Diceros bicornis minor: one gene and its partner. Each later gene encodes a partner of the first gene's protein in a complex. Links are inferred from orthologs where the notes say so. Each region holds a gene or a part of one and is shown in the gene's direction. Other genes may lie near its edges.

The links.
Region 2: the proteins of TNKS2 (region 1) and SH3BP2 are in contact, whole or in part, in a crystal structure (PDB 3TWR), measured with the Homo sapiens proteins. The link is inferred for Diceros bicornis minor from reciprocal best matches to the Homo sapiens genes TNKS2 and SH3BP2. Residues at the interface, in NP_079511.1 of Homo sapiens: Arg525, Ser527, His531, Phe532, Gly535, Tyr536, Asn537, Arg538, Leu560, Asn565, Ser568, Tyr569, His571, Asp589, Trp591, Phe593, Glu598, Lys604; in NP_001116153.1 of Homo sapiens: Leu413, Gln414, Arg415, Ser416, Pro417, Pro418, Asp419, Gly420, Gln421, Ser422, Arg424.

What each region holds. Positions count from the first base shown.
Region 1 is NC_080745.1:57,704,925-57,708,827, forward strand, and holds the start of TNKS2 (poly [ADP-ribose] polymerase tankyrase-2), read left to right. Parts: upstream 1-887; 5' UTR 888-1,152; coding exon 1,153-1,351; intron 1,352-3,903. UniProt on the Homo sapiens protein: Poly-ADP-ribosyltransferase involved in various processes such as Wnt signaling pathway, telomere length and vesicle trafficking.
Region 2 is NC_080747.1:2,129,719-2,133,621, forward strand, and holds the start of SH3BP2 (SH3 domain-binding protein 2), read left to right. Parts: upstream 1-1,230; coding exon 1,231-1,394; intron 1,395-1,692; exon of another isoform or gene 1,693-1,777; coding exon of another isoform or gene 1,778-1,809; exon of another isoform or gene 1,810-2,980; intron 2,981-3,198; coding exon 3,199-3,338; intron 3,339-3,903. UniProt on the Homo sapiens protein: Binds differentially to the SH3 domains of certain proteins of signal transduction pathways. Binds to phosphatidylinositols; linking the hemopoietic tyrosine kinase fes to the cytoplasmic membrane in a phosphorylation dependent mechanism.

The sequences.
Region 1 (3,903 bases):
ACATGTATCATTTTATGTAAGCATACCTTTCTTTTAACCAGTTTCTTGAGGATAGTGCATGGAAAGTAGGGAATGATCATCAACAGCTACATGGCTACCTTAAGCGTGAGAATCAATTCTGTGCTTTTCTTGGTTCAATGGTAAAAAAAAACACAAAAATTGCAACACATTAAGTTTTTTCTGCGATGCGTAAACCCAGTGTATCCACACCTCAGCCAAGTCAGTATAACGATTTACGTATGGGCCCTTTCGTTAGTCCTGAGCTAATAAACTTAACTATGGAAAGAGAATTAATCAGATGACAGCTGATTATCGTTAATTTAGAATTGGAACAAACTTTCATCGCTTGCCTAATTTCCTTTCAATGATCTTGGGGCAGCTCATCAAAACTTCCCATCAAGTGGAGACAGACTCCTTCATTTCCGAGAAACGCCTTACAAGAAACAACAAAATAAGAGTTGCGGGGGAAGAGAGAGTAAAGAAACCAGAAAAGAAATGCCCCAGGAGAAAGGGATTGTGGAAGGTGAAAAAATAGAAAATTTCCACACTAAAGAATTTCAAAACAATATGTAAGATCGAGGGAAAACTTTCAAGGGCACTTTTCAGTGTAATAACAATAAGGGAATTCAGCTCGGGAAATCCGTGCCTTAAAAAAGGACAATAAGCAGACTCGTTGGACTTCACCAAAACCCACCGCAAACATGGCGCTGGGACGAAGCCCCTACTCCGCCAGCCGCCAAAGCCTTTCGCCTCACTTTTCCCACAAACCCCTCCGCGCGGCCCGGTTCGCTGAAACCTGCCGGGCCGGCCTCCGACCACTGCGCACGCGCGGCACGACGTCACGTGCGCTCCCAGGGCTCCGCGGCGCTGGCAGGAGGGGCCTTGCCAGCTTCCGCCGCCGCGTCGCTTGGGGGCTCGAACGGCGGGTTCGCGGTGCTTACGCTGCCGCGGAGCAGCCGGGGGTCGCAGGGCCGAGCGAGGAGCGCGCGGCGGCGCGGCCATGGGACTGCGCCGAGCCCGGTGACAGGAGGGAGCCGAGCGGCCCGGGCCCTGAGCGCGTCTCCTGCGGGGGGCCTCGCCCTCCTGCTCGCGGGCCCGGGGCTCCTGCTGCCGTTGCTGGCGCTGCTGCTGGCGGCGGCGGCGGCCAGGATCATGTCGGGCCGCCGCTGCGCCGGCGGGGGCGCGGCCTGCACGGGCGCGGCGGCCGAGGCCGTGGAGCCGGCCGCCCGCGAGCTGTTCGAGGCTTGCCGCAACGGGGACGTGGAGCGAGTCAAGAGGCTGGTGACGCCCGAGAAGGTGAACAGCCGCGACACGGCGGGCAGGAAGTCCACCCCGCTCCACTTCGCCGCAGGTAACCCGGGCCAGCGCCGCCTCGCCCCAGACCCCACCTGCGCACCCGCGCTCGCAGGCCCGCAACCAGACACAGTGCTGCTCTGCCCCCGGCGCTCCCCCAGGACTGCGGTCGTGGTCCTCTCCCCCTCGTCGAGTGAGGACTGAAGACGTTGGGCTAGGGGGCCAGCGTGCCGCACTCACTGGAAGTTTTTTTTTTTTGCTTTGTTTTGTATCAACAATACCTGTACCAACTTCCGGTCTTGCTACTCTAAGAGGCCTCCACGCACAAGAAAGAGTAGGGGACGTAGTAGACCTTGCGATTCGAAAGGCCAGTTATCTCCAAAATCTATCTTCTTGCAAATTCCACTATAACTGTTATCAGTCCTTTGGGTTAAAGTCTTCAAGGCCCTTGTAAAATGCAAGGATGTAATTTAGGAGGAGTAGCTTAATTGGCCATTGACACATTAGCGTTAATGGGTTTATCAGGGTAGTTATTAGCAAGTTTCTGGGGAGACTAGAACTGGAAATAGTCGAGTTTGGGAGAATTGAGATCTGACTTAGGCTAGGAGCGGCCGGGTAGCCTCCGCCACACACACAAGTTGAGGTGGAAAGTAGTGGGATGAGAGGAAAGATGGTGTAGGTACTTGAGCTTGGATCTAGAATTTAAACTGGGACTAACCTCGCCTCGTTCTGGGATTTAGATCGTTTGAATTACTTTCTTTTAATATTTACTAGGTTCACTTTATGATATAAGCATATTACATTCACTTAAAGAATTTAAAAGAGCTAGAGATGAGAGACACTCAGCTTATTTCTATAAAGCATTTATACTTTTCACTTTGAAGAAAGATGCAACTGTCTCTATCCTCAAGTGGGCCATGCATGATTGAAAATGGGAGTAGAGTCTCATGGTTCTGATAATCCTGATTTTTTATTTTGTGCGTTACATAATTGTTTAAAATAATTTTTTGAAAAAGCAGAAGGATAGGTTTTAAAGCTCTCTGTTCTTTTCGAATAGGGATGAGCAGAGGAGCGTTAAGAAAGATTTCCTTATTCACAGACATTGCTTGTACACTTTCTACCAATTGGAGATTTGTTTGCTTTAACCTATCCCTGTTTTAAAATATAAATACTAGTAGGAGGTATGCTTTCTTGATCAATTAGAACTTTGTTGAGTTCCCGTTGAGGAGCCTTTTTAAGGGAGAAGGTTTGGAGGACCGTTGGCAGGAGAGCTAGAAACAGTCTGTGGCAGCAGAAAGGGAAAGGAGAGGAATACTAAAGTCAAATCTCATTTCTTTAGCCATTTAGCCTAAAATTTTTGTGATCAGTGCTGCCTTTGCTCAGCTAATTTGGGTTGTCCTGTTTGACCATGTGGTCACCCTTAAACAACTGATTTGGCAAACTGTCATAACCAACTGATATGCAGTCCAAAGGGTAGTGTTACTTAGATTCTGTTCACTTGATCTGTGGGGTAAAAATAACCAAGGAAGATCTTAGTTGCTACCTTTCAAGAATTCGGTGTATTAGTGAGTTCATATCTGAAAATAGTAATATTTAGGGGTTTAACCTTATGGCATTAGCTTCTTATTGACATTATTCCTCCCCCACCGTCCCATCCTCCCTTCTGTCCCAACATTTCAGAGTACTTTTTACATAGATTTCATGTGGTTTGTTCAGACTGAAATGGAAAACCTAATTTTAGGATCCAACCCACCCCTCACAATTTACCCAAATTATCAGGTACAGGTTATCAGATTAAGAATTTAAGGTATAAGAAAAGAGTAATAAAATGAAAATTCTAATGGTCTACATTAAACCAGAGCTTTAAAGCCCTGCATTTAACCCAGGCATATAAGAAACTTTTTTAAAAATTAGCTTTGTAAATCCAATCTAAATTATTAATTAGATTAATGAGAGAGAACTGAATTTTTAAATAAATGCATCCAGCTACATTTTCTCTGTATATAGGGAATACCTTTTGTGATCTCTTTTGTAGGTAGTGAGTTATCAATTGTATTAATGTGCATGTAAGCATGCCATGGGAAGCTCAACATAGGTAGTGGGACTATGTAACTGCCTGACCAAGCAGTTTTTTGTGTTTGTACATTATAGAGTAAGCCATAGGGGGAAAAAAATCTTTTTCTTAGCCAGTTAAAGTTTGGAGGTTTTATTGGGGGAGGGGAGGCACGTTTTTGTCTTTTTTTTTTTTTTTGATTTCCAGGGAACAGGAATAAGATTTGTGCAGAGGAAGGAATATGAATCAATGATAGAAGAACAGTTTAGTCTTTTCATCTAAAATATTTAGTTCAGTTAAGAGAATAATCAGTTGCCAGCCCCAGAGGAGTTAAGTTCTTTTGTTAATGAAAAAAATAATCAACATAAATAGGAACTTTTCTTCTAATAGGTGCTTTTTATTAGTGAACTGGATTACATTTCTTCTAGATAAGTGTGCTTTAAGAAATCATTTCTGGGCCGGCCCCGTGGCTTAGCAGTTAAGTAAGTGCTCTTGCTCCACTACTGGCAGTCCGGACTCGGACCCCGGGCGGGCACCAACACACCGCTTCTCTGGCC
Region 2 (3,903 bases), on another chromosome or scaffold:
ACAGGTGCACAGGGGTGGAGGGCAGCAGGAGAGCCTGTGGGAAAGGTCCATGGGGGCTGTATCTGGAAGGGCCAGGTGGGCATGCGGAGGCCCTGGAGATTCAGAACAGAGCCGTGATGAGAATGGCATGTGTGTTGGAGAGTGTGCCGAGTGGAGGGTGATGGAGGGAAGAGACTGGAGGTGGGGGAGGGAATTGAGGAAAGGAAGTGGTGGGGGGGCTGCCCAGAAGTGGCCAGGTAGGATGGCTGGGGGAGGAGAGGGAGGTGGCCTGGGGGATGGGTACACTGCCAGGGGAGGGATTGGCAAGGATGCTGGGCACAGAAGCAGGCAGGAGCCTCTATGCGGGGAGGCTGCAGTGACAGGCGAAGGCTGGTTGCAGTGGGAAGGGGCCAGAGAGGCTGCCTGAGGTGGAGGCTGGGAAACCAGGGAGGGGCGCCCAGTATGGACAGCCAGGTGGGAGCAGGGCCCAAGCTGTTAGAGCTACCCTCTGCTGTAGGTGGCCCATCTCAGTGGCAGCCTGTATGCAAGTGGGAGGTGGAGGAGGCAGAATGTTTGAGAGGCCAGCAAGGGCCTTCACCAGCCGTTGGCCAGCCTGGGGGTCTCCTAGGAGAGAAACTCACATATGTCCAAGAAGGGCTGCCAAAGACCAGACCCCTGACCCCTGAAGGGAATCGAGGGGTGGAGGCCCATCGAGTCAGATAGGGCAAGCAGCCTGCCCAGTAGGGGGCTCGAGGAACCGCAGACCTGTCCGTGAGCCTGAGTGCATGCCAGCGTGGTGGGGGCTCTCGGCCAGCCGGACCTGCTTCAGAACAAACCCCGCACAGCCCTGGAAGGCAGGGCGGCCATCACCCCCAGTTACAGAGGCGCAGACTGAGGCTCAGGGAGGAGAAGCCACTTTCTCAAGGGCGCTCGCCATCCAGGAGCCGGCTGGGATTGGGACCTGGGTCTGGGGCCTTCCAGCCGCGCGGGGACACTCGCAGCGTTGGGGCTGTGAAGCGGGATGCCTCGCTTGCATCGGTGGCTTCTTGATTCTCGGCTGCACTTGAGACGTCCGCTTCGCGCCCCCCATCCTCAGAGCAGCAGACGGGGAAACTGAGGCTCTGCGGGGCGGCGGACGCGGGGTGACGGGCGGAGGCGCGGGGCCGGCGGAGCTCCCCACCTGCCCGCCCCCGCGCCCGCCCGCGAGGGGAGGAGCCGGCGCCGCCTGGGCCCGGGCCGGGGGCGCGCGGCATGGCGGGCGCGGGGCTGCGGCCGCGGAGCCGGGGCCGGCGGGAGGCGGGCGCCGGGGACGAGGCGGCGGCCGGGGGGCCCGGCCCGGGGCCGTGTCGGTGCGCGCAGGAGAGGCGGGCGGGGGCCGCCCCCCGGAAGCCGGCCCTGCCCGCCGCGTGGACGCCGTGAGTACTGAGCGCGGACCCGACCTGAGCCCCCGGACCCCGAGCCCGCGCTTCCTGCGAGAACAAAAGCGGGCGTGGGCCGGCGGCCGGGCGGGTCTGGGGGCCCCAGGCGGGACGCGGGCCGTGCCTCTGCCAGCACCTCCCCCTGGGTGGGCGTGAGCGCCGGTACCCTTCTCCCCGCCGCGGGGCTCCGTCCGGGCGGCAGGCGCGGGGGGCGGGGGTAGGGGTGGCCGCGCCTTTGTTCCGAGCCTCCGCTGTTGGTGGGGGCCCAGGCCCGAGGGGTCGGCTTTGTGTGCAGATGGAGCCGGAGCGGGCAGCCCGGTGACCTAGGCAGAGGCGGTGGCAAAGGGGCAGCCCAGGCCCCTAGAGACGGTGAGCATTTGATGGAGGATGCTGGTTCGCTAAGAGCAAAGAGGTTCTCTTTGTGTGTGTGTTTTGGGGATGGGGCCTGTAGTGGCAGGAGTCCCAGCAGGACTGGGTCTCTGGGTCTGACCCTAACTGCTCCACCACCGGCTTAAGGGTGACGCTGACCACACCCCTTCTCCTCCAACTCCACTGGGACCCCAGGAGGAACCAGGACCGGGGTGGGGTGGGGGCAGGCACAGACAAAACAGTGCAAGGTTGGGTGCTGTTCGGAGGGACCAGGGGTGGAGGAGACCCGGAATGTGACTGGGCATTGAGGTGCCTCACGGAAGAGAACACTGAATTTGGGTCTTGAAGGACGAGTAGGAGTTCTCCATGTGAAGAGAGGTAATGATCATTCCAGGCAGAGGCCAGAAGTGTGAAACAGCCTGGCAGGTTTCAGGGAGAGCAGCTGGAGCATGAGTAAGAGGGTGGGGGAGGGGCAGGGCCTGACCCCCCAGGGCCTGACGTGTTGGGTCCTGTGGGGCTGGGTTAGCCCTAAGACAGTCAGCCTGTCCCTGGTGACCAAGTACTATGTGGTCCCTGAGGAGTGTTGCATCAGCCAACCCACCAAATGGTCCTCATGGCCATTGCTGACTAGGGTGTGCTGCATGCCAGGCCGCATCTGCTCTGTCCTCCCATTTTACAGCTGCAGCAACTGAGGCCCAGGGATCCCCCAGAAAGCCAAGCCAGGACCAGAATCTAGGTTGTCTGACCTGGGAACTGGAGGCTCTTGGCCAGCTGCTGTCCTGCTTCCTGGTCTCAGAGCCTTAAGAAAGGGATAGACAGAAGCCAGCTAAGGGTGGGCAGGAGTGGATTGTGGGGCATTTAGGGGCCGTGCCCCTCACTCTCTCCCTGCTGAGAGTCAGAGCTGGTGGAGAGGGTGCCCAGGGCCTGCCCTAGACCCTGTACCTCTTTAACTCCTTCCTTCAGTTTGTGACCCCAGTCACCTTCTCCTGAAAGCCCTCCCTGACTTCCTGTCTAGGGCAGGCCCCATTATAGGCTCACTTGGCCCTCGGACTTGGGGACCTCATGGCCTAAGGCCTGACTTACCTGGGCCAGGGGTTTCCTGAGTCCATTCGCCGCTGTACCCCAGCCCCCATGGGGCCTTGAGCTCAGTAGGTGTGTACAGAGTGAACCAGTGTCGATGGAGGAACACAGCTCACAGGATCCCTGGGGTTCAGGTGTGTGGCTGAATGGACCAGGGGGTGTCCGAGTGGACCAGGTCTCTCCCTAGGGTCCCACCTGGAAGCCTGGGCCTTCAGAAAAGGGGTTCTTACCTCTTACTGCTTTGAACCTTCGTGCTCTCTCCAGGATCTTGGCAGTGTCCCCCCTGCATGTCCCCAGCTAAGCTATCTTTTGTCCCCCACACCTGGCTGAGATATGTCCCCTTTTATTGCAGCTTCATGGCGGCCGAGGAGATGCACTGGCCTGTCCCTATGAAGGCAATTGGCGCCCAGAACTTGCTAACCATGCCAGGGGGTGTGGCCAAGGCTGGCTACCTGCACAAGAAGGGCGGCACTCAGCTGCAGCTGCTCAAATGTGAGTCCCCTGGGCGGTGGGGAGCACCATGGGAGGACGTGGGGACAGGGCTGGGCCCCAGCCTTGCTGACCCGCTGGGCCTCCTTGGGCAAGCACCCAGCCTCTCTGAGCCTCTGCTTTCTTACACGGAAGGCCCTCCGGAGTTTCCCTTCCCTCCCTCATGGCCAGTACGGCTGGAGGACCTGAGGTCGGCTTCCCCAGCCCCATGACTGTGGGAGGGTCCGGGGTGGTACAGCTGGGCAGAGATCAGACTGGCATTTGGTGCACTGTGCTGATCAGCTGGCCAGAGGAGCTTCAGCCTGCAGCAAGGGTCTAGGGGCCCTTGGTGGCCTTGTAGGTCTGGCCTCTGGGTGGTGCCCTTGCCTTATCTGGCGGGTGTTCAGTGAGCCCACGTGCCAGCCAAGACCTGGCTCTGCACTGGACCTCCAGAGCTGCATGAGACTGGGGCTCTGGTTCCTAGGACAGCAGGCTGGGAAAGGGAGGGAGCCCCCAGACCTGGGAGATGCCCAGTTGTCAAGACTCTGAAGGCCAAAGAGCATCAGGGCCTTGCCCATCCCTCTGACCA